Linked DNA regions of Oryzias latipes. The protein of the gene in region 2 binds, or shares a complex with, the protein of the main gene of each other region. Links are inferred from orthologs where the notes say so. Each region holds a gene or a part of one and is shown on either strand. Other genes may lie near its edges.

Evidence for each region.
Region 1: snrpg (region 2) and snrpf share a complex: the UniProt entries of both Homo sapiens proteins name them as parts of the U7 snRNP complex. The link is inferred for Oryzias latipes from reciprocal best matches to the Homo sapiens genes SNRPG and SNRPF.
Region 3: snrpg (region 2) and gemin4 share a complex: the UniProt entries of both Homo sapiens proteins name them as parts of the SMN-Sm complex. The link is inferred for Oryzias latipes from reciprocal best matches to the Homo sapiens genes SNRPG and GEMIN4.
Region 4: snrpg (region 2) and cwc15 share a complex: the UniProt entries of both Homo sapiens proteins name them as parts of the minor spliceosome. The link is inferred for Oryzias latipes from reciprocal best matches to the Homo sapiens genes SNRPG and CWC15.
Region 5: snrpg (region 2) and rbm48 share a complex: the UniProt entries of both Homo sapiens proteins name them as parts of the minor spliceosome. The link is inferred for Oryzias latipes from reciprocal best matches to the Homo sapiens genes SNRPG and RBM48.
Region 6: snrpg (region 2) and snrpd1 share a complex: the UniProt entries of both Homo sapiens proteins name them as parts of the SMN-Sm complex. The link is inferred for Oryzias latipes from reciprocal best matches to the Homo sapiens genes SNRPG and SNRPD1.
Region 7: snrpg (region 2) and gemin5 share a complex: the UniProt entries of both Homo sapiens proteins name them as parts of the SMN-Sm complex. The link is inferred for Oryzias latipes from reciprocal best matches to the Homo sapiens genes SNRPG and GEMIN5.

What each region holds. Positions count from the first base shown.
Region 1 is NC_019881.2:20,375,325-20,379,335, reverse strand, and holds the start of snrpf (small nuclear ribonucleoprotein F), read left to right. Parts: upstream 1-1,211; 5' UTR 1,212-1,346; coding exon 1,347-1,349; intron 1,350-1,945; coding exon 1,946-2,071; intron 2,072-4,007; coding exon 4,008-4,011. UniProt on the Homo sapiens protein: Plays a role in pre-mRNA splicing as a core component of the spliceosomal U1, U2, U4 and U5 small nuclear ribonucleoproteins (snRNPs), the building blocks of the spliceosome.
Region 2 is NC_019865.2:4,866,768-4,870,524, forward strand, and holds snrpg (small nuclear ribonucleoprotein G), read right to left. Parts: upstream 2,462-3,757; 5' UTR 2,348-2,461; coding exon 2,316-2,347; intron 2,173-2,315; coding exon 2,150-2,172; intron 1,996-2,149; coding exon 1,871-1,995; intron 660-1,870; coding exon 609-659; 3' UTR 501-608; downstream 1-500. Other genes in the region: zinc finger protein Xfin, read right to left, coding at 3,710-3,757. UniProt on the Homo sapiens protein: Plays a role in pre-mRNA splicing as a core component of the spliceosomal U1, U2, U4 and U5 small nuclear ribonucleoproteins (snRNPs), the building blocks of the spliceosome.
Region 3 is NC_019871.2:19,886,961-19,891,178, forward strand, and holds the start of gemin4 (gem-associated protein 4), read left to right. Parts: upstream 1-1,418; 5' UTR 1,419-1,489; coding exon 1,490-1,577; exon of another isoform or gene 1,578-1,629; coding exon of another isoform or gene 1,630-1,639; intron 1,640-2,351; coding exon 2,352-4,218. Other genes in the region: tapasin-related protein, read right to left, coding at 53-382, 465-740, 811-987, 1,094-1,139. UniProt on the Homo sapiens protein: The SMN complex catalyzes the assembly of small nuclear ribonucleoproteins (snRNPs), the building blocks of the spliceosome, and thereby plays an important role in the splicing of cellular pre-mRNAs.
Region 4 is NC_019872.2:16,000,765-16,004,792, forward strand, and holds the start of cwc15 (spliceosome-associated protein CWC15 homolog), read right to left. Parts: upstream 2,801-4,028; 5' UTR 2,701-2,800; intron 2,345-2,700; exon of another isoform or gene 2,342-2,344; 5' UTR 2,335-2,341; coding exon 2,204-2,334; intron 1,401-2,203; coding exon 1,288-1,400; intron 1,180-1,287; coding exon 1,079-1,179; intron 218-1,078; coding exon 107-217; intron 1-106. UniProt on the Homo sapiens protein: Involved in pre-mRNA splicing as component of the spliceosome. Component of the PRP19-CDC5L complex that forms an integral part of the spliceosome and is required for activating pre-mRNA splicing.
Region 5 is NC_019869.2:21,761,586-21,765,568, forward strand, and holds rbm48 (RNA-binding protein 48), read left to right. Parts: upstream 1-1,430; 5' UTR 1,431-1,445; coding exon 1,446-1,607; intron 1,608-2,068; coding exon 2,069-2,259; intron 2,260-2,341; coding exon 2,342-2,487; intron 2,488-2,703; coding exon 2,704-3,239; intron 3,240-3,245; exon of another isoform or gene 3,246-3,330; coding exon 3,331-3,393; 3' UTR 3,394-3,483; downstream 3,484-3,983. Other genes in the region: pex1 (peroxisome biogenesis factor 1), read right to left, coding at 160-243, 343-489, 1,129-1,236; efcab1 (EF-hand calcium-binding domain-containing protein 1), read right to left, coding at 3,544-3,594, 3,667-3,771, 3,896-3,983. UniProt on the Homo sapiens protein: As a component of the minor spliceosome, involved in the splicing of U12-type introns in pre-mRNAs.
Region 6 is NC_019869.2:22,965,507-22,969,454, reverse strand, and holds snrpd1 (small nuclear ribonucleoprotein Sm D1), read left to right. Parts: upstream 1-1,148; 5' UTR 1,149-1,280; coding exon 1,281-1,294; intron 1,295-2,698; coding exon 2,699-2,775; intron 2,776-2,850; coding exon 2,851-3,042; intron 3,043-3,248; coding exon 3,249-3,325; 3' UTR 3,326-3,897; downstream 3,898-3,948. UniProt on the Homo sapiens protein: Plays a role in pre-mRNA splicing as a core component of the spliceosomal U1, U2, U4 and U5 small nuclear ribonucleoproteins (snRNPs), the building blocks of the spliceosome.
Region 7 is NC_019872.2:29,392,423-29,395,588, forward strand, and holds part of gemin5 (gem-associated protein 5), read right to left. Parts: intron 2,279-3,166; coding exon 2,205-2,278; intron 2,005-2,204; coding exon 1,823-2,004; intron 1,410-1,822; coding exon 1,270-1,409; intron 1,203-1,269; coding exon 1,031-1,202; intron 961-1,030; coding exon 778-960; intron 708-777; coding exon 654-707; intron 584-653; coding exon 455-583; intron 335-454; coding exon 239-334; intron 171-238; coding exon 33-170; intron 1-32. UniProt on the Homo sapiens protein: The SMN complex catalyzes the assembly of small nuclear ribonucleoproteins (snRNPs), the building blocks of the spliceosome, and thereby plays an important role in the splicing of cellular pre-mRNAs.

The DNA.
Region 1 (4,011 bases), on a different chromosome or scaffold from region 2:
TTAAATTTTATATATATATATATATAGATATATAGGGAGCTGGTTTAGCTCGTGCTGGTTTGCGGCGCCTTCCGTCCGTGAAACCAGGGTTCGACTCCGGGCTGCTCCCTGTTCCCTTCTCTACTTCTGTGCCGGTCCCAAGCCCGGTTGCTTTGAGAAGGTTGCGTCAGGAAGGGCATCCGGCGTAAAACATTGCCAAGTTTACCATGCGACTCGTTCGCTGTGGCGACCCCTGATGGGAAAAGCCAAAAGGGAAACCAACCCTATCTATCTATCTATCTATCTATCTATCTATCTATCTATCTATCTATCTATCTATCTATCTATCTATCTATCTATCTATCTATCTATCTATCTATCTATCTATCTATCTATCTATCTATCTATCTATCTATCTATCTATCTATCTATCTATCTATCTATCTATCTATCTATCTATCTATCTATCTATCTATCTATCTATCTATCTATCTATCTATCTATCTATCTATCTATCTATCTATCTATCTATCTATCTATCTATCTATCTTCTGAAGATGAGACCCACCAACTCACACATTGATTCTCGCACTGTTTTCCCAACAATCTATATGTCATAAACACTTCTCAGCTTACTTACTTAGCCATTGCCTCCTTGGTAACCGCCTCGCACCATGATTCCTCTGTAGCAAACGTGAAATCTACCTGGCGTTGATACAGAGTGTGAGTGCCTGTATGGTGAGATGTCATCCACAGTTTTGGCATCTTCTCCAGCTCCAGGCTCAAATGAAACATTTACAAAACTAAAATCATTTTCTTACATTAAAGCTCGGTAATGCAAGCCTTTCAAATAAACAGCAGAATGTGAGAGTTCGTCAGCACATGTTGTCAGCAGCCTGGAGCTGATGACAACAATTCTATAATTCCATTGGGTTTTATATTATCTGATTATAAATCATTTTTAATTTCACTTATTTATTTATTTTTTGACATTTGGTCTTGTCTCATTGTTATAAAATAGTTTATTTATGTTTTTTTTCATAGTTTGTTTATTTTTTGTTGTTTACTAATTGTGTGAATGATGTTGTGTCATTTTGTAAACTGATTTTATTTATGATTATTTTATTATGACTTTATAAAGCAGATGCACTGGAATGTGATCAGAATATAGTCCGAGTCTTTTTGTTGCACTAATACATCCAGAACGCCAGGGGGCGACGTGAGGCGCGGCGAAAAGCTCGATGCCACTTCCGTTTCCTGTCGGCGGCAAAGCGTGCTTCTAGTTTGTGAAGCTAAAACGTTTTTGTGACGAAGACATAATAAACTTCTAATTTACTGTTAATCGGGTCTAAACTTAATCGAGCAAAATGGTGAGTAACTCTTCAAATATGTAATTTCACACGGCCTTTGGGTTTATTGAAGTTTGTTAAAACAAAGAATTTAAGAGAGTTAGCTCGTTTATGCTAGCCATGTTAGCATCCCATTCATAACTGGTTTACACAGCTCGTAGGGGAAAACAAACTTACACTAAAAACAAAACTTTAAAAATGAAACGGTTAGATATTCAAGTGAGCTTTTACTAAAGTGTTGTTTGTTTTGGGTAACGTGTTGCCGTATCAGAAAATGAACGTCCGTCGGAACAACACAAAACTATGACGTTCCTCTGCAGGTAGTAGTGTGGTCGAACATTATACAACAGATTAATAGAAGTATATAGGTCATTTGAATAATTAAACTGCTCCAAAACCGAATTTATGTACTGTTTCCCAATTATTCAATTTATTTTTTTAATGCAGTCCAGATTGGTTCTTCAGTCGCTCCTGTTGATGATTGGTGGTGTAAAGAAATCAGACGTGGAGACTGTCCATAACATGAATAACCCGCATACTTAAAGTTCTAAATATCTCATAGGGAAAAGCGTCATGTTTGCAGACTTGATGTAAGGTTTCAATCCCCTCTGCCGCAGAGTTTGCCCCTCAACCCAAAGCCTTTCCTGAACGGCCTGACAGGGAAACCAGTGATGGTGAAGCTGAAGTGGGGAATGGAGTACAAAGGCTACCTGGTGTCTGTGGACGGATACATGAACATGCAGGTAAAAGCAACTCTAGCTTCATTCACAACTATATCAGGGTTTATTCTGGGATTTTAAAATGCAGCTGCAACACAGAGGCAAACTACTCAAAAGTAAATGCAATTATTTATTCAATCTATTTTAAATTAGTCAAGAGTGTTTTTATCGTACTCAGTTTGTTATTATTATACATGTTTCTAAATGACCAACAGTGTTTTCAGTCTTCTATTCTGAGCATTAACTTAGACGACTGTTGGTGGAAAACCAATTAGCAGCTTTTCTTGTACCAGTTTACAATTTTTTTCAAAAATTCTAACTATCCTATCATATAACATTTTAATAAAAAAAAGTCGTTTAAAAAAAGGTCAAATGGCTCCTGTCGCATAGTGACAGCCTCTGCAAAGATGACGGAGGCTTTTTTGAGTTTGCTAAACGATCCTGTTCAGCAATTATTGATCAGGAACTTTCCGCTTCATCCAAGAGTCAAAAACAAACTCAATACAGTTTCTAAATGAAAACACTTCTGGTTTTTCACAATAAGATTATTCTGGGCACAAATAACAAAACATTTCTCTGAACCAATGAAGTCATTCAAACCAAATCATAAATGTTGTCTCACATTGTTATTTAAACAGTAAATAAGTCAAAACAACTCTAAACACTTATTTTTTTTAAGTATTTATCTGTGATGCTCATTTTTTGATCAGGGTTATCCGTAGTAATCACAACTAAAAATGTTCCAAATTTAGCTTTTTTGTCCTTCACTGAGCAATTAAGTCTGTAAGTCAGTCGCTGCAGCGGCCTGATACTGCATGAAAGTTGGCTAGCATTTCTAAATCTGGAACAACTTTTCTTACCAAAACATATCAAACCATTTTGTTCTATTGTTTAGATAGCAGCACATGTAGAATAAAAGAAATCTGTTTAAAAAATTGAGATTTCAGACCCTTAAAGCTCTCACACCAAACCGGTGTTGCTTCTCCATATTTTACATAATTCTTTGTATATTTAGATTTCATGAAATTTGACCTTTGCTAAGAAACTCTTGTTGTTTAGATGAAGGTTGTTGTTTAACTTTGTCATCTTTTATTATGAGATTTTAAAAGAAATACATTTGTTGTGTTTTACTCAGAGGAAATTACCATAAACATTTTACTTGTTTAGTTTGTAGAAAAAAAGTGATAAACGGCAGGAAAAGTACATGATTGTTGCAGAAATCCTCAGATGGAATGGGTTTTTACCAAACTGTGACACGCCACCATAACAGTAACATCTTTTCTTACGCTTTTCTAAGCTCTTCAGAAAAAAGTCTTATATCTGGACTTGTTTTTAAAATGTTTAATTTCCTGAAATTCCAAAGTAGATTCTTTGTCGAGTGAATTTTCTCAGGTTAAATATTAGTTAAAAAATGACAGAAAAATATAAGTATTTAGATGAAAACTTGGGTGCTGGAATTAAAGGTTAATCTTTTAACATTTGTAGAAAAGAACAGAAAATTTGCATTTGGTTATTTGGGAAACAGCAAAGAAATCCATAAGATCTTTTTTTTTTTTAATATTCTTGTGGCATCTTTCTCATGATGGAGAACACGTATGAAGAATGAATCAGGAGCAGAAGACAAAATGCCTTTTGATTAAGATCGTATTTGTGACGTTGAAAATATGGTGGGCGGGCAACAAGCTCCCTGCTCCGAGGGAAAGGGGGGCGGGGTTGCTCTGTACCAACAGTTTCGCCACAACAACAAACTGGGTAATCATAATTAGAACCACTGGGAAGGCTTTGACACTAGATCTTAAGATGATCAGAGCTGATCTTTAAACTAAACGTTATGAGTAGTTTACTGTTTAATCCAGCAGAGGGCGCCACAGAATGAACGTAAAATCTAACAAATCTTTAATTTGGTAGAAAAATGAAGAGAAGGTTTGAGGTTTTGACTTTTCTGTATGATGTCTGACAGCTGG
Region 2 (3,757 bases):
TTTAGAAAAATTGGTAACCCTTTGTTTTAGTGTCAAGCAGCTAATGTTTTTAATTTTAAAATACCTTAAATTTTTTTCCTTTCAACGTGGAAACTTTTAAACTTGATAGAGCTCAAGAATAAACAAACTGAATCCAACTTTTTAATATTTTATGAACAAATACTTGCCTGCTAGTTTATAACAAGTTTGCCAGCTCATGAATGGAAATTACGCATATCTTAAATATTCAGCTGACTTTAGGTCTATCAAATTATTAAAATAGTTCAGCATTTATGTCTTCATCACCAGCATTCCCAACATTGTTTAGCCATTATAGCTTTTTAACAGCTAAGCTATAAAAAAAGCTTTCGAATTCCTTAAGATAAGACTAACCCTAACATTTAAGATATTCTTTTTTTGTTTAGCAGCTCATCCTCCATTACAAAAACACTAAATTCTTGCTGCATCTACAGGAAAGAACACATACAGTAACATTTCGTAAAACCAAACAAATGCACGGATAAAAAGAAAAATAGTTTATTAACAAACAAACATCTCAAAACCAACAGACTTTCATTGTGAATGAACTACAATGGAATGAGAAAACAGGAGGCGCCGCTGTGCTCTGCTCATACTCGCTCCAAAGCCTCCAACATGATGATGCTGTTTCCTCGGATGACCTTCGGGAAGACAAAAGGAAAACAGATCAGATCTTTTCACGTTTACACATTTATTTTTACACAATTGTGTGTTGAATAAGAGAAATGTTCTAGTTTGGGAAAAACTACTAAACCCTTTCCTGAGGCTGTCACATCAGGAAAAACCACGAACCTGCCAACGTTTGGTTTCACAGATATTCACTGGAACAGGCAATTGTTATTTGTTCTTCCGTAAAGACAGGTCAGTTTTGTTTCAGATAAACTAATTAGACATCTTTGGAAAAGCTGGAGTATTGGGGGGGGGGGGGGGGGGGGGGGGGGGCAGTATAATATATTTAAGAGAGATTTTCAGTAGGCATTGAGGCTCCCCTGTTGGTCTGGATGTATTTATTTTAAGTAGTAATGAACTTTTGGCTACACATAAAAATGTGGAAATGTTTTCCAGTAACCCTGCTTTATTTGCAGCTAGTCACGTGGATCAGGTGGATTTCATCAAGCAGAATCTGCAGCTTCCCGATCTAGAAAACCAGTAGCAACTAGAATACAGATGCCTGGAAAACAAACGAGGAAGTCTGTCTTATCAATATAATGTTATATTTACAAGAGAAAGTGGATAGAATAGGTTCTTTGACTAAAGAATTTTGAATAAACTTCGAAACAAAATTTGTTTTTGTAGAAAAAATTAAAAATTAGTTGCCGGAAATGATCAAAACCACTAAATGACCAACTGGGATTGCTTTAATTTATTTACTTTGACATGTTCTTGTGGCATTTTTCTGATGAGGACATATATTTAAAAAAAATATGCTTAAAATTGCTTTTCTGCGTATTTCTTTATTCAAAATGTAGTGAATTAAAAGGAGTTAAAAAAAAAGTAATTAAAACAAAAAAAGTGTATTTGTGAGGTAGAAAATTTTCTTTATCAAAAAGATGATTTTTAGAACATTTACATTTTTGTTACTAACTAGCAGACCCCTAACATATTTTATTGGTTCATATTTCTTTATAGGATTGTCTGGTTTGTTAGGAAAACAGTTGTGCATGTTTTTATAAATCTATGTAGACAGCACTCAAATTGGTTCAAATTGTCAAAAGATGGAATTGCTAATAAAGATAAAAATAAATAAAGAGTATGATCTTTAATTGAACCTATTCGTCCTGCTATTACGGGTGGGGTAAAACATTGAATTAAACTATTCCCTCATGCTTCACAGTTCTGCTCGGACACTGACCACCATCCCGATGGTGTTCTGCTGTCCCCCGGGGCCCATCTCCAGACAGTCGTCCATCACCAGGTTCATGAAGGGGTCGAACCCTCGCAGGATGCCCTGGACGTGTCTGCCTCCATTCAGCTTCACTGAAGAAAACAAAAAGAGCAAACTGATGAACATGAAGGCTGCTAGCTTAGCTAAAAGCGAATTTAATTTCACAAGAAAAAGCCGGCGAATGAATAGAAATATAGTGTAATTTTGAAATATGTATTAAATAATGAAACGAGAGTTTTAACTCACGGGAAAGCTTTTTGTCCATGAATCTGAAAGACAAAAACATTATTTAGATTTAGCTTCAATTCCTAGCTGTTCCGGCTAACGGTGGCTAACATGGAAACATACTACAATCTCGCGAAAAAGACCGAAGCTATCAGGCCTATCATCTTTCAAAAACTTGCAAACTTACTTCTTTAGCTCTGGTGGATGCGCTTTGCTCATGGTGTCTGTATTTTAACGAAACAAAGTCGTGTTTCAATTCACAAAACCGCGTAGGAAACGCGTGTGGACCGGGAGACCGGAAGTAAAACCCTGTGACCTTTGCTGTGCTGCGCCCTCGTGCGGCTGGGAGGAGTAATCTGGTTTAAAAAGGGATCAGCCAAAGGCAAATAATACTATTTGCAGTTAGAAAATGACCAAAACAACTATAAAAATACATGCACATGAAGTGTGTGATATATTTTATATATATATATATATATATATATATATATATATATATATATATATATATATATATATATATATATATATATATATATATAGAAAACCTTAAAAAACTCATTGTATTAATAGATTTTTATTTGTGCAAAAGCACAGCTGATTAGTTTTATTTTTTTTTGGTTGAACATCTGAGCTGTAATGATCAAAAGCAAAAATAAAATCAAACATACATTTAAAAAATGCGACAGTTTGTTTTACTTTTTCCTTTACAAAGGAAGATTGTGAAAAATTCCCAAAACATTTTTCAAACTTTAAATCATCACAGTGACACTGAAAAGAGCCGCTGAAAATAACTTTAGAGAAACAAAACTTTGAGGCGGCTGCTTTTGTTTGCATAGAAAGGAGATACAATCCACGTTTCCTGCTATCAATAAAGACATCAAAAACGTTTTTTATGAAGCAAAGGTTTATAGGAATTCATGCTAGACCCTCAGAAAAATGGAAATCTCATAAATTCGCACTCACTAAAAAAACAAATGGCTGAGATTCAACCCAAAATCTACCAAAGAGAACAGCCAGCCATTCAAGAGGATGTTAGCATCCATTACTTCATATTTCCTCACTAACATGACCTGAGCTACCTTAACTTTAAGAGGTTATGGGAACATTTTGAAACTATGATAAATTTGATAAACTATGATTTTTACTTTTACAAGCAATTTTAAAGAAAAAAGAAAAACAGCTTCATTCATCCTCAGTAGGATGTTGTTAGCAAGTTACCATGGTGATGTGCTCATGGAAAGCTGTCCTGACAAAAAATAAAATGTAAGAATTAATAATTATATATTTGCTGATTATTTGGAAGAAAACAGCACAATTTGACAAAACACATTCAGTGTATTAAAGACATAAATGATGATGTTAATCAGTGCTTTCCCTCTCCAGGAAGTTTAAGTTTTGATGGGAAAATAGCTTTTGAATCTGCCAGGCGTTGATTCAAATTGTAACAACTTTATTAACAAACAGAAAGCAGAAGGCATCGCACTTTGATGAGTAAACAAAAAATCAAATGTTCTCTTCAACCCTGAAGATGATAAAGCAAAAAAAAAAAGGCAGCTGTTGGACACATTCTGTTTCCCATCAGGCTTTGCTGGCCTGCTGTGCCAGCGCCTCCGACTCTCGGTCCTC
Region 3 (4,218 bases), on a different chromosome or scaffold from region 2:
CGCTGATGGTAAAAGAAGAGGACAGATTACAGGTTTTAGATCATCTCCTCACCCTCGACGTGCAGGTTGAGCTCCATGTTGGCGAAAAGCGGGTTCACAGTCAAAGAACAAATGTAGCTTCCTTCGCTGCTCATCTTGGTGAAGGGGAGAGTGTAGGAGGCATCTCCCCCAGCCAGGGCCTTCTTCCCAACTCCAGAGCCATGAATCTCCCCGGAGCGGCTGTTGTAGCGGAAGAGCATCCTTCTCTCTCCGCGGGACTGCCAGTGCCACTCCACGGTGACGTTTGGGCCTCGGTGGTCGATGCTGAACTGACAGTGGAGTTTGGGCTGCGAGCGTAGTCTGACTTTCACAGATGGAGTCTCTGTTTTCAGCAACATGGCGACTATGGACACAAATAGGATGAACCCTCTTACAGGCCTTCGTTCTGACATGCAGAAGCAGCGTCAGATGAAGGGGACACCTACCTGTGGTGGTAAGAACCTCTCGGTCGGCGATGGGCGGCCAGCTGCGGTAGTCCTGCTGTCCTGGAGGAGGTTGGTCAGACGGATGTCTGAGGAAAGCAGTGACGCTGAACTTGTCCTTTCTGTGTCTGAGGATGCAGGTGTACCAGCGGTTGTACCCCTCTGCCCCCAGGGCGGGCCAGCGGACATGGATGCCCTCTGTGCTGTACCGTCGGACCTCACACTCCAACTCCTCTACCTCCACCCCTTCAATGGACCGCTGCAGGTCCAGTTTTGAAACTAAAGCAACATAAAAAGTCATGAATGTAATTCTTTCCTGCCCCGATTCGTGTCTTGGACAGAAGCTCACCAGTGATCAGGAAGGTGATGGCGTGGGGATTGACAGGAGCGTCTCCTTTTAGACCAAACTGAACCATAGCCTCTCTGGGAATGAGCTGTGTCTCAATGTGTCCTTCACTGTTGTTGGACACATGTTCGTCAGTGAACTGACATGACAGCCATGGTATCTGCTGAACGCTCCTCACAACTGAGAACACAGAAAAACTAACATTAAACACACCCTTCATTTAAATTTAGTTCCTTTCATGAACTAACTGATAGAACAGCTGCAAACATACTTTAAAATAACTTACCTCCAATCACATAAAAGTAAATAACAACTTTCTGAAATACTCCCATTTTGATTATTCAATTGAATTTCTTGGTTCACCTTGTTTCTACCAGCAGCCAGGATCTAAAAAGTACTTTCATTTTCACTTCTGCAGAAAAAAAACGATTTGCCTTTAGCTCGCGTCACATGACCTACAAGATTAAAACCATAACAAAAAAAAAACATTTTTATATATATTCATAAACACAATAACAAATGAAATGACGTTTAAATCTGATGTAAAATATTTAAATCTCGCTCCGAAGAAAAACGTTAAAACTGCAGTACCGAATTTATCCGGGTGCGTCGCTGTGAACAAACATCCGGTATATGCGTCGCATGGCGGAAGCGTGTTTGCGGCTGCGCAGTTCTGCTGTGGATGTTTTTAGTTGGATTATGTTGTTTCAGAAATCTAACTTTAAACTTCGGAAACCGTGAACGTAACGGCGCGTTTAGAGAGTTTCCAGGTAAACGGATTACACTGGTATTTACCTGCACGCAACAATTATCACGGTGATAATGGACAAAGGTAAAATAGCTTTTATTTTTACTCTCTCTGTAGACCAGTTAAGTCACTGACTTTAAGTTAAAATAAATTCTTACAAAAGAAAATATTATTTAATAAAGAAAAGCAATGTTTTTTAATTTAAATTGTTTTTCCAACACACGACGCATTCATACCGATTTACACACGCGGTGAACCGCTTTGAATTGTGGGAAACTGAGTTTGGTGTGGTAAAATGAATGACATATGGATCCCCTGAAGGGATTTGGCAAAAGGTGAATAACAACAAGATCTACACTGATCCTGACATAAAGACGAACGCACACAAACACTCACACATTAAACACAATAAAAACTATATGGCTCTGTCCATGAAAACTGAGTTATTTATTGGAGATCATATCTGAAAGTTGAGAAGAAGCTTTGGTGTTTTTATCTGTGGATACGGTGGCCCTGAAGTTCAAATCACATCCACAAATTACTGTTTTAAAACATCACACAGCAGTCCTGGAATGCAAAAACAAAATTGTTTTTGCAATTCTTGTTTCTTACTGCATATTTGAATGAAAACTTGACACCCCACCCCACCCCCCGCTTTAATTTTGTTTAGATTTATCAAATGTAACGTTTTCTTGTTATTTTATTGCTTTTGTTGTTGTTATCTTTAAGATGTCTTTACATTGATATGATGATGTGATTGGCACTTCAGGGCTCTGATTATGTCATGTGATTTCAGGCTCTGCGGTTCTGCAGGGGGCTTTCCTGCTGGCAGACAAACTGTGTCGCCCCTCATTTCTATCCTGCGTGAACAAATCCGACTGGATCGCGGCGGGACGCCCGATCCTACAGGCTCTGCAGGAAGTCTGTGAACTGGAGGAAGCTGACGGTCATCACAGCTCGACCTGGACGAAGAAGGTGGTCTGTGCTGTGTGGCTGAAGCTCTTGAGCGCTGAGGAGGATGTTGAGAGAGCGTGGAGGGAGAACCCCTTTTTTTCCTTCCAGCAGAGCCTCCCTGAAGTTAACCATGTTGTCCTGTTGGAGTTGGTGAAGAACGCTGCTGCTTCACATGTTTACGCAGGTTTTCTCCTTCATCTTCCTGAAGATTTGATCTGCTTGGAGCTGAAGAGGCTGGTAGAGCATGTGAAGAGCGAGCCTACAAGCGAAGAGGATGTTCATTTCTTTCTAGAGATGTGGCGGGAGCTGTGGAAAGGCCAAGAGCAAGCCAAGCTCAGAAACGACGAGAGCATGGAGATGATGTTTGCCAAGCAGGTTGCTCGTCTCACCTCCATGTCTTCTAGTTTGTCTCCTCAGGCTGCCAAGAGGTTAAAGCTGGAGACACAAGACTCAGCAGAGGCTGATGTTTTCCACATTCTCCTCAATGCCCTCAAAGACATGGCAGATCACGTCTCCTCATTAGACCTGTGCTTCCAGTCTCTCTCCATGTCCCTTGATGCTCTTTTTACATCATTTCTGATAGACCGAGAAGTTGTTCTATCAGCTCAGGAGAAGATGGACATCCTGTGTAAAGCCATCAGTACTAAAGGAAAGAATGAAAAACTTCAACCTGAACTTGTTGAAGAAGCTCAGAGACATTTACGGGCTTCGATTTCCCCGTCTCAGTTCAAAGTCAGGAGGATGGATCTGGGTGAAGCTCTGAGGGTCATAGCAGAACTTAGTCAGTCTTGGAAAGACCGAGGACTCTTGGACGTCCAGGACGGCTCTCGCTCCTCCTACTCTGCTTTCCAGCTGGAGCAAAGTGTCCAGAGAGTCTCCACTGCTCTGGAAGAAGCTCCCACAGCAGCGACAGAGAAGAACCTGCTCGTGGCTGTGCTGAAGTCTCTGGTTCTTCCTGTCACAGAGAGCAGCCCTGAGGTGCATGCTCAGGTGCTCTCCACCATCATCACTCACCGCCTGGAAGACCACGAGAGCTTCGCTGCCTTGTTTGCCAGAGAGCCGCCCTGGACGCACTGTGATGAAGGCTGGATGGATTGCCTGGAGAGGAGCCAAGCTTCCTTCCGTCAGCATGACGCCGTGATCGGCCTCTCCTCTACTCTAATGAACAAACTACGCATGGAGAATGCAGACGTCAGCCAGTGCAGAAAGCTGATGAAAATCATAGCAGATATCTTCTCCAGCCTTTCCTTAGAAGACATGAACAAAGCCTTGGTGTCCATGTTAAGATTGTCTAGGAAGGGCTTCTTCGAATTCCCCGTTCCTCCTGAGGTGGCTGGAGGGTTTGAGCAGGAGCTCAACATGGCCTTCAACTGCATCATCCAAGCAGGAAGTGGAGCGTCCTCAGCTGTTCCTCAAGGGAACCTGACCACGGCCGTCTCACTCGTAGCCAGAGTGGCTTTTCAGAACCCAGAAGGCGCCTTACGGTCCTGCTGCCACTCAGCTGTTTTCAATAAAGGAGCATTTTCGATGATGGCAAAGATCCTGCAGCATCTGCCTGGACTCAGCGGTCAGAGAGGAGGAGATGGAGATGGAAGGAGGAGCGGAGAGGAGAACACGGCTAAAGACGGGACCTCTAGTCTGCTCTGCAGGTGCCTACACCAGACGGTCAAGGACAAGTCCCTGTCAGCCAACGAGAAGGAACAGTTTGC
Region 4 (4,028 bases), on a different chromosome or scaffold from region 2:
CAAGAATCATATTTTTCCTTGATTATTAAAACATTGTGTTTGAACAAAGTCATGCTGCTGACTGTAAACACAGAGGTACCAAAACAAAATGGATCAAATGTTTTACTTTGCGTTCTTGCTCTTCGGCTCGCTCCTTCTTTATCTTCTCAAGCTCAGCCAACAGAGCTGCAGTGTCGTCATCATCACTATCTTCATCAGAGTTCTCATCCTCGTCATCCTGTGAAGAGGAAGGATTTTAGAGAGGATTAAGGCTGCAATGGCCTCATGCAGCACAACTATGGCAGAATGGTGACAGCCCCCATGCACTGCTGACGTTCTTTTCCACTGTTTAATGACTTTTAAATAAGTTGACATTTTCAGACGTATTCTCAATAAAAGACATTTACAAGAGAGTACATCAGTCTTTATTTGTAGTGTGCACACTTGGACACTTTTAAGTCAGCTACAGTTATCAGTTTAACTAATGCCACCTTGTTGGAGGTACCAGTGCTGGATGTGTTGCTGGTAGCTGTAGATGTGGATGAGGTTCAGCTTCAGGAGCTGTACTGTGGGACCGACCATAAGAGGCAATGCAGGGAGTTTAGCCTTTAAATACACCAGCCTGGCATTTGGAGAGCCCCAGTCTGCTCAATTTTTCCAGAGGAGGAACAACGGTCATATTTAAATCAAGTTTGTTTGCCACACTTTTTAAATTTTGTGTACATTTTTTTTCTTGAATGAAAAAACTAAGTTTTAAGTTTACCCACAATTGTTCTTTTAGGTGGTCTGATCAGCTAAAATTAACCACAAATGAACCATCTGGGATGTTTCAAGTTTAATGTGTCCAAAGCAGAGAAGTTGTACAAAAGAAATTGTTTGTTAAAAGTCAACTTTACAGTGATTTTTCCCCAATTAAGTCAATCCAGGCATTTTATTGCTAATTTTAATATTTACAGTCTTTAAAGAGAAAGTTTTATAGCACTAAAATATCAATATCTATTCAGATCATGTCAAGTGCAACAGCGAGAAAAGGTCTCATCTCCCAGCCGTAGGTGTACTGATGAAATGTTTTCTTTATTATATCAGTGCAGACACTTACATCAGTGAGAGGGTCATCAGCATCAAGGTTAGCAGCTGGAATCTGATCCAACCTGGGCCTCTTTGATGATGATGAAGATGATGAAGAGGATGTAGTGTGTTCTGGAGAGAAAAAAATGTAAAGACTGCATTTACAGAAAAATACATACTTTGCTTGGTTTATACTTGTGTGTCAAAAACAGTAAGTCTAAAATTTTGATAGAGACTAACCTCTTGGTCCCCTCTCTCTGGTCTTCTCACGTGCTGCTACACGCTCCTTCTCCTCCAGTTCCCTACGGAAATCACGGGCACGCACCTCCTCGGGGGCATCCTGAGTGGGCTGTCTAAGGGATCATAGCATTTTCAAGACTAAGTCCCACTACAAACTCCAAAAACCACTCATGAGATAAATAGTAACATGTACAGTTGGGGGAAAAAGTATTTCTCAGTAACATATTTAGCAAATTGTCTAATTTAAAAAGATGAGAGGTCTATGATTCCATCATATACACTACAACTGTGAGAGATTGAATGCATATTAAAAAAAAATATATAGCGAAAATTGTAAAAATATTTTTTGTAGAACTTGCACAATTGGTAAATGCAAACCACCCCTCCTACACACTGTAGCTACAATTTAAACATAACCTGCAGCAAACAAACCATCAAGAATTATCAATACTAAATGATGTACTCCAAATGTACAAAAGCTTTATGGTTATACAATTTAGTTGATAACCATTTTAATACTGAGCAATGACTTATTAGATGCAAGATATTTGTGAGCAAATTATTTAACATTTTCTTAAGGGTCATGGAGAGACACTAAATAGACAAGAAAATGCACACATGCCCCCCCCCCCCCCCATGTCATAAACTGATTCATGTGATGCTCCAACGTGAGGTTAGCTTAATTGTACCCAACACATTATACATGTAGACATTTAATCAAGTGTAGATTTATGTTCCACTTTTTAATAATTATAGCACAAAAAGACTAATTTAATCAATCCGGTTTGACCATTTCCCAAATAATTCAGATTGAATCTTCGAGAATCTTAACATGATTAAATATGTTTCTTTCAAACAATCGCTTTCTTTTTCAACTGAGCTGTCGCAGCAGAGTTTAATAGGAACTAAAAACCACCTGTATTTGATCTTGGTGTGACCTGGAAGATCTCGGCTGGAATATTGCTTGGACAAGGCACTCAGATCGCCTTCTCCTTTTCCTCTCCCTCCTCTCGCCGGCTCAAACGTTGGTCTTGCTGCGGTAGTCATCCCTAACCTGCTTCAACAACAACACGGTATTTGTCAAACATGAGTACAGTTATTTTCAGTTAGCTACTGTACTTTAAACGCAGAACAAACAAGGTAACATCAGTTGTATATAACAAAACATATACATACATTTATCGATTAAACAGACTTTAATACTTATAAAGGGTATTACTAGCCACCAAATTTGATTATGCTAACACTCAGACAAGACAAAAAACTCATTTTGGGCTCTTTAGAAAACTTATTTGTTTTAAGATTCACTGCACACTAATCAAACGAGATGTATGGCTACATTTATCATATTTATACCGTTTTAACAAAAAAACATCTGTAAAAAAACGTCTTTGACTTGGAAAAAATACTCACGATTCCACTACACGGCTAGCGGAAAGAGGATACCATAGAACGTCACTTCCGGATTGAAATTGCTGTTGCGCATGCGTCAAGAATACGATTCTGTTGGTGCGTTTAAAAAGAATTGGAAAATGCATTACTCATTTCAAATGTAATCTGATATTTATCGTAAAGAAATTACTATATTGTACCAAAGGAGAAAGAATTAGCACAAAAATGCTTTGTTACACCTTTCTTTTTCAAAATGCTGTGGTGATATTCCAGGGTACATGGTTGAATTCTAAAGCATTACAGCCAAAAATGTCTATTACTGATTTCAGCAAACCAACACTCACATTTAAAATGAAAAACATATAAAACCTTTGAGCACTGGTGTAAACAAGGAAGTGTTTACGAGGAGTCATCTTGTCTCTTCTTTTGAAGTAACCGGTAGAATTACTGTAGAAATGTGCGATTAGGGTTTGCAAAACATTTTACGTGGCCACCATGGGGCAATGTGCATCAGGTTCAGTGTCTTCCTGTAGCTTAATTTCTCCACTCAAAGTGAACATTAACATCACAACATGATTTTTAAATATAGTTTATTCCAAATTGAACACATTATTTTTAACTTTATTTAACAGTCTTGATACGTAGATTCTATTAAACATAATTGAAACACTTGTAACAGATGTAAAATTCCTGTCTTTTTCCATTTTAGACCTGATGAGTCTTCATCCTTAGGTTTTGAGATGTTCTTCTCAGATAATATGCCTTCCTCTTTAAAAGGATGTTTCTCTGGATTTGTGCCGTTGGACTCTTTGCTGCCTTTGGCTTTAACTTCAACTACAGAAACACTGGTTTATATTTGTTCAGTGTTTGCTGTTTAAGTTTGATGAGTTTATTTTATTCTTTTCCAAAGATATATCAATACATAATTGTGAAAATACAAATCTAAAACACCTCTTAGGCTCAAAAATACACTCTTAAATGAAAGGGAGAAGAGAGAACATGATTTGCCCCTTTTCCCCTTAATACTGAACAATATTTGGATTGCACCAAACTTGTCCCTCCCCTCCAATGTTTTAAGAAATGTCTGAGAAATGACAAAAGTATTAATCAATTTATAAATAATTTAATGAAAATCAGGCATAACTCTGGAATTTTTGTACAATAATTAACTAGTGAAATGACTGGACAAAGTATTGGTAACTTAAACTTCATATTTTGTTTTCTGTGCCTTTCAATTAGAATTCTGCACCTGTTTGCAGACATTTTACCAACTTTTTGTTAAAAAAAAAAAGCTTCATTTTTAGTGTGTTTGGAATGATTGCTATGCTGGAAGAGCCAGCTATGTTCTG
Region 5 (3,983 bases), on a different chromosome or scaffold from region 2:
ATGCAAAAAGAAAGAAAGAAGGGAAAGCTAAAATGACTAACTTTTATTTTGATAATTAGAAATGAGTTTTAGAAGTTGATTATGTTCTCAGGAGATTGATTTCATGATAATGTATAACTGCAATTAGACAAATTACACAAAAGTCAATATTTCACTCACCAAAATCTCCCAGTCATCAGATGACAGTGGCTCCACAAACACCTGATTCAGCGAAGAGACTTGATGGCATGGTCTGAGAAAACACTGTGAAAACCACTCAATGTCAGACCAATGTTAAGAGACTGTTGCACAGGCAGTGTTCGTCCCAGTTGATGACCTAAAGGAAGAAACCAAGGTCTTTACCTGTTCTCCATCAGTCAAACCGAGCTTTTCTCCAAGCTGCCGAGACAACTCCACTCTGTGGCTGTCTGCTCCTAAGGAGGCTCTGATGGGACACCAGCTAAGGAACACTGTCGACCCGCCGTCCCAAGACAGCTCCAAAGCCTGATTCTAAAACGGACCGGCCAAAGAGAGACGATGAAATAAGACACAGAATGGTCTCTTAAAGCGGATGTCGAAATTATGATTCCAACTTTATGAATGTTAGATACTTGTGATACCTTTATTAGTTTTTATTCTTGTACATTTTGTATCATTACATACATTTCAGATTTTATGCTCAGCAGAAGAATTAAATTAAAAAATTGCAAAAATATTCCACAGGTGTGGTAGCAAAATATAGAAATATTGAGATGATCACATTAGTTATTATAATAATCAACCTTTTCTAAATTAAACTATTTCTAGGAGTTAATGTGTTAAAAATCAAAACAATGCAGTTTCCTTTAGACTAAAGACCCCTGAATGAGGACAGTATTTGATGCCCAATTTCTATTTTTACCAACAATTCATTTTTTGTTGCCTTGCATTACTTCCTAATACTAATTAAGTACACGTGATAATAAAAAAATGCTCTGCTTTTGTTATAAGTTTTAATTAAGAAAAACTAAAACCTTAAATGCAACCAAAGGTCCCCTTGTAATGTCAGAGAAACAAACCAGCAATGTGTAAAACACAAAAGCAGTCATTATTCAGTAAACTTTATGCAACAAAACTGAAGCGATGTTAAGTAATTAGCTAATACTTTACCTCATTCAGAGAAAGGTGCGATATCAGCTTTGAAGAGAGTTGAATAAAGCAGTTTTTAGTGTTGTTAAAAACAACACATACTGGTTGAATTCCCTGGTTGCTAAACATGACGTTTACATCGCTATTTTAGCATTTAAAGTGCTTAACATGCTGGTGCGCTAACGGCCAAAGTGCAACAAACATTTCGATGAATGAGAGAACTGATCCAGACAAAACAGTCGATTGTCGATGGAATCGATCATTTCAAAATAAGACTGCCACGTCGTCAACACTACACGTTGAGTGCTCTGCACAACGGAATGAACTCTTGTTTTGAAATGCCACCAAAGCGGAAACGCGTTTCAGCAAACATGGCGGCAAATGTCAACAGTAAACCTGGTTGTTGGAAGGTCCCAGAAGTCTACAAACATCACGAACAACACAACGCATGTTTTTCTAGACCCAAATATAGAGATGGAAGGAGAGCTAAAGCAGTCAAGGTAAGAAAAACGTTTCTAATGTTTGTAGCAAAGACGGTCTGTGTTGACGCAAGCGACGAGCTAATAATTATGTGTAAGTTGGTTTTATTTTTACATTTAAGAATGTAAGAGAAAATTTTAAAATCTTTTTTTTTAACTGGAAGAAAAAAGTATAAATTGTAGTCACACAGCAAGTGATAAATAAAAGACCAACGGCAGGTCTTAAAAAAACAAATAAAACTGTCGTTTTGGCAAAAATAAATAAATAAAATTAAATAAAAGACATGGTAAAAAGTTTGAGTCATTTCGAAAAAATTGTAATTAATAAACCATAAAAATCAAATTTCTAATACAGTAGACTGGATTTCTGAGTTGCAGGAAAGTACATCAGATCTGATGATTATGTCTTTAAGTTAATTGATTTTTATTGGTCACGTCAACAGCCTCACATATACTAATAACCATGCCTTTGTATCTGCCAGGTCTACACAATAAATTTAGAGTCCCGTTATGTGATGATCCAGGGAGTCCCCGCTATTGGAGTGATGGAGGAGCTGATCCAGTTGTGTGCTCTTTATGGAACAGTGGAGGAATACAGACCGCTGGACGAGTATCCTGCTGAGGAGTTCACAGAAGTCTACCTGGTCAAGTTTCAAAAACTGACAAGTGCTAGGTATGGCGGGCACCTTAACTGTACTGCCCTAAACCAGAAATGCTGAAAAATATGTCATTCAGGTTGATATTTGATGTTCCAGAGCGGCGAAACGTAACATGGATGAGAAGAGTTTCTATGGCGGCGTGCTGCATGTGTGTTACGTCCCGGAGTACGAGTCTGTGGAAGACACCAAGTTAAAGCTGCAGGACAGGAGAAGTTATGTTCTGAAAGTGGCTCGGAGTAGAGGTATTATCGCATTTTGACGATATACGGTGTTGAAAAGCACTGAATCTTTTTTTTCTTAGGTAATTGTTTTTTAAAAGTTCAATGAAAAAAAACTGTGATTAAAAAATTTTTTTTGTGTATTTTTATCTGAAATCAAATGTTTTTTGTTGTTTTGTAAGTTTAAAGTATAGATAAAGAATTTGATGAGTGTCATTTATCTGTTTCATGTTTATACAGCAAAAGAAAGAGTAGCGGATGCGGTACACATGGAATCTACGTCTTCAGAAAGCGTTCCCACATCAAGCAGAGTTTTTGCTACAAATAATCCAATCTTCAATAGTGACAAAACAGGCGAGACTTCAAGCTTCAGCCATTGTTCCGGATTTCCTCTACTGCCTTTACCCCCGCAGGAATACTTTCATCAGGATTATCGTGGGAACGAACCAACAGAAGATCAAATGGGGACTTTACATGACGCAGTGCCTCCTGACGTAAAACAGCAGAAAGTCCAGAACTTTAGCTCTTTCAGTAAAGACCCTAATTCCGAAAAAAAATTGGCCTCCAACCCAGATTCTTCCGTCAAGCTTGTTCCAAGAACTGCACATTTGGAAAAGAACAAACGCCGCAAAATGGAGGAGGCCACAAAACAGCCAGTGCCTGATTCTGGAGAACCGTCTTTGATTGGACCAAAACTACCAGAACCACATAAGCTGGACATGAATGATCAGTCGCTAAACACAACAGTAAATCTGATCAGGGGCACAATGAAGCAGGTAGTCTTTTATTTTTTTTTTAATGAGAATTAGAGCTTGACATGATGCCATATTGGTGCATTTCAGTCTCATTCTTTTCATTCATTCCTAGGTGACATCGGTCCCAGACCTCAAACCAGCGGAGAAGAAGGTTAAGCCACGCCGTCGGATATGATCCATTCTGTTTTAGTGACGACTGTCCATATTTATCAAAACTAACGTTGAAAGGCTCAACTTAAAATAAAATTGTACTTTAAGAAAAACATTTTGGCTTTTTCTTTCATGAAAGTCTCAAAGTTGAACACCGCTTGCACTTCATATTTTATTATTCATCTTGCTGCTTTTCCAGTACTTGCTGCTCAAACTTCTTCTTTGTCTAAAAAGAAAGATTTAAGTTAAATAGATCCTTACAATATTTTTAAGCTCAGCAACTTTTGGTTGTGATTACCCTGAAATTGGGCAGGCAGCTTCCAAAGGCTTCAAGGAGTAGCTCCTCCTTTTTTACAGACTTCTCAAAATCTTGAAAAGACAGCCTGCCGTCTTTGTCGTGGTCCTGTGGAATCACAGGAAGCAATGTTGGCATGTTACCAAAATAAATCTGCACACATCAAGACAAAATTCTTACAATCAACATCGATCCAAATGTGACAAAGGCAGATGGGAGGGCAACATCTCACCATTTTTTTGAGGACAATTTCCATCAGTTCGTTGATCTCATCCTGTTCATCTTGATAGTCGTCTTCTCTGCCTTCCTCTTCAAGCCGC
Region 6 (3,948 bases), on a different chromosome or scaffold from region 2:
GGACATGTTTGGGGGTTTTTCAGCATTTTCACGTTTGGACTGATGGTGAATGTTGTGGTGGCATTTGTTCTCCACACTGTTTGATTAAATCCTCCCTCCACAAATACCTTCTTTTTTCTTTTTTTTTAAATACAACAATTTGCACTTTCTTTAGGTTTCACTTGATACATTCCCAGCTTGTCTCAATAAATAAAAAGTATTGCTGTTTGGCCAAAACTCTAAATGAAATATCAATGCAAAGTTTACTCTCAATAAAAAGATCTGAAAGTTTGCTCCTTTGTTCTTTTTGTCTTCTTTCCTAGATCAATGGTTCCCAGCTTTTTGTGTATTTTGTAAGGATGTAAAGGATACAGTTACGTATTGAAAATTGATCAAGTACTGGAAGTAACAGCTCTATCAATCGATAACCTTAAATACGAGCAAGTTGGTGAAAAGGTAAAAAAATGAAATCAATCAGGAAGTAAATCGTTATTTTTTTTTCTTTTCTGTCTTTACTGTCTTTGCCTTTTTATGTACATGTGATGCCAACATGAAGACACCCAATCACAAAGCCTACTTCTACCAAATCGGGTCAATTATGATTGGCTGAATGTGAACCACAGTGTGCTGTGTTCTCTTTTTTCACGGTACTGCAAACAATGCCTGAATAAATTCCTATGACAATTTTTTGATCATAAATAAAAACAGAACAGTATTCGTAGTTGAAGCAGTTCTCTCAGAGATGTTTTGTTTTTGTTGCTTCAAAAAAAGGGCCAATAAGAACAAAATTTAAGAAAAAAGTTTCTCTGTTAAATGGCATTTCCATTAATAATTTTAAATGCCAAATACATAAATAGAAATCTATGAATAAATGACTGGTACTTTATTTTTTAGCACCATACAATGGCATCAGGGTGCCAAAGGGCTTACATTAACATAACATTTAAAATTGAGTAGATTGAGAGGGGAAAAAAACAGCATTAGATGGAAAAAACAATAAAACACATAGAAAAACAGTTAATAATTAAAGTAATTGGTAAGTAATTAAATAAAGACAGTAAAGGAATATTAGATGCCACCAACCCAATGAGTAAGAGAAAACAACTCATTTTTGTCTTTCCACTGACTGTTCTTCATCTCACCACCAGGCGGCGGTAAGACAACATTGACGGTGAGCGGTGGCCTCTTTCTGACGTCATATCAACGCGACACAAACGTTGGTGGTACATCAGCGGCCTGTGATTTCACTCGATCGCTGTAATTTTTCTCGTCGGTGGAGGATCTTTTCTCTACTGTTCGTCATGAAACTAGTCAGGTAATTTGCTGCATGGTCTGTAGATGTGTCGACTGGTTTAAGATAGGATGATGAAATAAAGGCTGTGTGGCCGGATGGGTTCAGATAGACAAATGAACTGTGTGGAGAGGCGGGAACAAGGCTGCTGGGTTTTCATTCAAAAAATACATATAAACATATCATTAGAGCTAACTATTTAATCAAGGATTAAACTGCTTGTTTTAGCAATATTTGTAAAAGATCGAGGCTGATTCGTTATCATTTATGGTTTTGCAAATTTCCCCCCGCATTATTAAAACTATCGTACTAAAGGAGGTTAATTTATTAGATGTTGTTTCCGTTTCCTCAAAGTGCTTTATCATTATTTAATTGTATTTATTTTTGGATGTTTTTAATTTCCACAACTTAAGAGACAAATGTTTTGTTTTCAGTTTACACAACAGTATCAATCCACCGAAGCTAACAAGCTAAGAGCTAACACGAGTTTTGTTTAGATACTAAAAAAAAAATACATTCAAAAAGGGGGGGGGGGGTATTTTGTACAATTTTATACGTTAAATCTTATGTGTTGTACAAAAATGCTGTCTAATGTTTGTGAGAGAGAGACGTCTTCTTTGTGCAAAGCAGTAAGTTGGCTAATTGATCATTCAAGATGGATCTAGTCATTAAAGTCTTCTACAGCAATGGTGCCAACCTTCTAATAAAGCGGTTTTTTATTGTATTTAATTTATCAAAATATTTTTATGATTAACAGAAAACGTTACCAACAATTATTTCTAACAAAAAGTCCGCATAAATGTTCATACAAAACATTAAAAAATGTGAATCTGAAAATGGAGTTTAAAGTCTTCCATTTTATCCAGTATGTATGGGATCAAATGCAGTTTTTGTATGAAATGGTGCATATCACAGTATGTTTATTTCCCTCGTTTTTTTTATGTTTGACATTTTGTTTATTTCATTTGTATTTTGTGAATATGAACAGACATAAAAATGATGCTTTTAATTTGTTAAAGTCCACCAATCAATTATTGATTAACATTTTCCTGTTCTAGTTCTGCTTAAAGGTCAGCATGTTATTAGTGTATTTTTTTTCATGGTATTGTCACTTTAAAACATTGACGTTTAAATGAAAGTGCCTTTTGGATTCAGAAAACCAAAATGAATGTGCCAATTCTAGGTTTTTGAAAAATACACTTTTGAGTAAGAATAAAACACGTGAACCTTTTTTGTTTCATGTGGGATGACAATAAATCATGTTTTTTTTTTTTTTGCGAAAATGATTCTTTCCCTGAAGTGTAGATACATTATACTGGTACTGCTTTTTGATTACAAAATGGTATGTTTGGTAAAGTATAGTGCAGTAAAACAACTCTTAAAGGTTAAGTAAATGTAAATGTATGCTACTCTCCCGTGTCCACACAGGTTTTTGATGAAGCTCAGTCATGAGACCGTTACCATTGAACTGAAGAATGGCACTCAGGTCCATGGCACCATCACAGGTGAGAGCAAACACTTTAGAGACGAATAAATGAACTAAATCATTTTTAAAATCCTCTTCTTCTTCTTTTTAATAGGTGTTGATGTAAGCATGAACACACACTTGAAGGCGGTGAAAATGACCCTAAAGAACAGGGAACCCACTCAGCTGGAGTCCCTGAGTATCCGAGGCAACAACATTCGCTACTTCATCCTGCCAGACAGTCTTCCACTGGACACCTTGCTGGTCGACATTGAACCAAAGATCAAGTCCAAGAAGAGAGAAGCAGGTGGGAGATTTGGGCACATTCTTACCTGGAAAATTGTATTAAGTTGAGAAGGATTTTTCTGCGATAAGAAATCCCTCAACAGTATTTATATTCATCATGGGTGTGTAAATCTGCTGTTTATTTCTTTGAGAAATGTTTTGTTCTGCTGATTAAAACTTTTTTTTTTCACGAGTATGGTGAAAGAATCTGGCCTTTCTTGTTCTCAGTTGCTGGTAGGGGGCGAGGCAGAGGACGGGGCCGTGGCAGAGGAAGAGGACGAGGGCGAGGTGGACCACGGAGATGATTTCAGAGCCCCAACTGTTTGTACAGCTTTTAATTGTACTGCGCGGTGGACGCAAAGTGAATCTAAGTGTAAGTTTAGGGTTGTTTTTCTTTTTTATACTCGTGGGTTGTTTAAGACCGCGAGGGGGTTTTGGATGCTGTTGATTCATAATTTGTACCATCTTGAATAAAATGTCTGAGCAGCATTTAAACTGGGTAAAAATGTCATCTGTTTTTTGCTTTTTTTATACCTTCTTGTGTCTTTGGCAAAGTTGGCTGAAAATGTAGCTGTTCTACTGGCATCAAAGAAGAATAAATCTTTTTTTTTCTCTTTGTAATATTTGGCTCTTTAATTGGCTTGATTAGTTTTCACTTTTCCTATAAGTGATTGAAATAGGTTGATAAGGTTTTTTTTCACAGTTTCTGGAACTGATTACATCTCAACTTATTGTTGATGATGTTCCAGATACTGCTGATCCACCTCTGGTGGATGGTGTGGATGTTGATGACTGCAAATGTAAAAACCTTTTGTCCAATACTTAGATGGGCTGGCTCTTAACCCACATAAGTTTCCAATAAAATAAAGAAAATCCACTTTGAATTTTGACATCATTGTAAAAACTTATGTTTGTTATTGAAGATCTC
Region 7 (3,166 bases), on a different chromosome or scaffold from region 2:
GACACTTCAACCGGCATCTTCCCGCTCTTTACCCATCGCAGCGACGGACAGCAGGTGGTCGTTCAGCTCTCCTTTCTCCGTTGCCAGCTGCAGCGCCCCCTGCAGGTCTCCGCTCCACAGCCGCAGGTACACCACCGAGTCGAAGTGCCCCGCCTGCACGTGACCTTCCTCTGAGGGTCGACAGGAAGTTGAACGTTACGCTGAAACGCCCAAAGCCAGGAAGGGAGAACCAACAAACCTTCTGCCTCCAGCATGAGGCGCAGAGCCCGCCGGTCTGCAAACAGGCCCAGGTGGACATGGTCGCCATGTCCCGGGCTGCAGCCAGCAGGTGGCGCTGAAAACACACAATCAGCCCTGCTTTGTGAAAAAAGGGTCGAACTGAAGACTTAAGCTCGTTTAAGTTTTCTGACATTTTTATTTTGCATTTGGAGACCATCTGCCAGTTTTCTCTCACCTGAGGCGTGTCTGACGGCGGCCAGAGTGACGCAGTCCTGCAGCAGCTCCTCCCTGGGCCGGTGGTCCATGGACGTGCTGAGGGGCAGCATGGAGCGAGGCTTCTTCTTCTTCAGGAGGCTCAAATCTGCTGCGGAGCCAGCAAGGGACATGTTCAGAACCCAAAGAAAAAGCCGTTTGAACAAGAATCAGACACAAACCTGGTGGCTTCTCTTTACTTCTGGAGACAGATGAGGATTTCTTCTCCAAAGATGCTAAAAAAAGGAAAAAATGATTAGAAAAATGCGATTTGACATGAATCCTTCAGGCCTCAGACGCATTCACCTCCTGGAGGATGCATGCTGCTCGTGGAGCCGACCTCCTCCTCCTCCTCCTCAGACAGATCCTTCTCTCCGTCGCCGTTCATCTTTGGCACCACATCTCCTCCGAGCCCCGGCGCGCTCTTGCTCTTCTTCTTCTGCTTGGAGCCGGACTTCTTCTTCTCCTGCAGCGTGCTCATCTTCCTCCCTGGGAGGAGAACATGTCAGTCGTGAGCAGGAGGACCTGGCTGGATCCCCCCTCAGAGCCTCATCGTCACCTTTAGGTGGCTTTGTGAACTCCTGTTGGGAGACCTTCCACTCCTGCACGGTGAAGTCTTTTCCTCCGGTCCAGATCACGTCTGGATCAACGGGGGACCAGTCCACGCTCAGCAGATACCCCACGTGACCCCGGTAGTTAGAGATGGGCGCCTCCTCCAGGACGTCCCACACCTGAAACGAGACCCGCCCATCAGACCTCAGAACAGCATTTTGGCTTCACCTGTGTGGAGCAGCAGACCTGTGCCGTGCCGTCATACGAGGCCGTGACCAGCCGAGCGCTGTGATGTGGACTCCACGCCATCCCGGTGATCTTGGCTGTGTGACCGCACAACCGCCGGTACGGCTCCGTCAGGACCACAGGAGTCTCTGGAGGGTTCTCTGAAGACCAGGAAGACTCGTAAAGATGTGGGTTCCATAAGGAATTACTGCCATCTATCCATCCAACCATCCAGCTATCCACCTATTCATCCATCTGACGATTCATTTATCCATCCATCCATCCGTCTTCGTGTAAAGTTGTAGACCTAAGTTTCAAAACTGGAAATATTAAATCTACATCCAAACTGCAAGTATTCGTCCTGAACGACAGTTGATGTTTGATAAACTGATCCAAAGGAAACCAAACAACAAAATGGGATGAAGGTGAAGAAGATGAGAATTCTGAAGGGATCCCAGAAACGGTCATATCCTCTCTGACAGTGGGGTAACTGGGAGGATTCAGAGCAGGTTGGAGCCGTTTATTGGACGCTTGTGTTGTCATGTGACTATTGTTGTGAACGTAAGGTCCCCACCTATCACGGAGCGGAGGTCGTGCACGTAGACGATGGCGTTGCTGGAGCCCGAGGCCAGGAGCGTGTGCAGCTCTGAGGCGGAGCCGTGCTGGTGATGCCACCGCAGCGAGTTGATGATCTTGTGGTGCTGCTGGACGCTGCACAGTTGCTTCAGGTTGGGGGCTTGGAAAACATCAATGCACCTGATGAAAGAGATGAAAAGACCGGTGAAAGAGGCCAGTTTCCAGGAAAACAAGCAACTTTTGACATGTTTACTTTGTGATGCAACCTGACAGAAAACCTCAAAGCTCCACCGCTCCTCATCTCTGCTTCAGATGTTTTAACCATTAGATCAAAAAGTCTGGTTGGCGTTTCTAAGGGTTCACGTGTGAAAACAACTCACCCATCCTCGTTACCGATGGCAACGACTTTCCCATCCGGCTTCCAGCTGAGGTCGGTGTGTGGAGACAGCTTGTGCTGTTGGAGATAAAGATCAGTTTCAGGGTCGGTGCAGCTCAGCTGCTTTCAGGACAAACGGCAGAAACTCGCCGCCATTCTCAGCCTGAAACGGCAGAAACTCGCCGGCATTCTCAGCCTGAAACGGCAGAAACTCGCCGCCATTCTCAGCCTGAAACGGCAGAAACTCGCCGCCAGTCTCAGCCTGAAACGGCAGAAACTCGCCGCCAGTCTCAGCCTGAAACTCGCCGCCATTCTCAGCCTGAAACGGCAGAAACTCGCCGCCAGTCTCAGCCTGAAACGGCAGAAACTCGCCGCCAGTCTCAGCCTGAAACGGCAGAAACTCGCCGCCAGTCTCAGCCTGAAACTCGCCGCCATTCTCAGCCTGAAACGGCAGAAACTCGCCGCCAGTCTCAGCCTGAAACGGCAGAAACTCGCCGCCAGTCTCAGCCTGAAACGGCAGAAACTCGCCGCCATTCTCAGCCTGAAACGGCAGAAACTCGCCGCCATTCTCAGCCTGAAACGGCAGAAACTCGCCGCCAGTCTCAGCCTGAAACGGCAGAAACTCGCCGCCAGTCTCAGCCTGAAACTCGCCGCCATTCTCAGCCTGAAACGGCAGAAACTCGCCGCCAGTCTCAGCCTGAAACGGCAGAAACTCGCCGCCAGTCTCAGCCTAAAACAGCAGAAACTCGCCGCCAGTCTCAGCCTGAAACGGCAGAAACTCGCCGCCAGTCTCAGCCTGAAACGGCAGAAACTCGCCGCCATTCTCAGCCTGAAACGGCAGAAACTCGCCGCCAGTCTCAGCCTGAAACGGCAGAAACTCGCCGCCAGTCTCAGCCTGAAACGGCAGAAACTCGCCGCCATTCTCAGCCTGTAACGGCAGAAACTCGCCGCCAGTCTCAGCCTGAA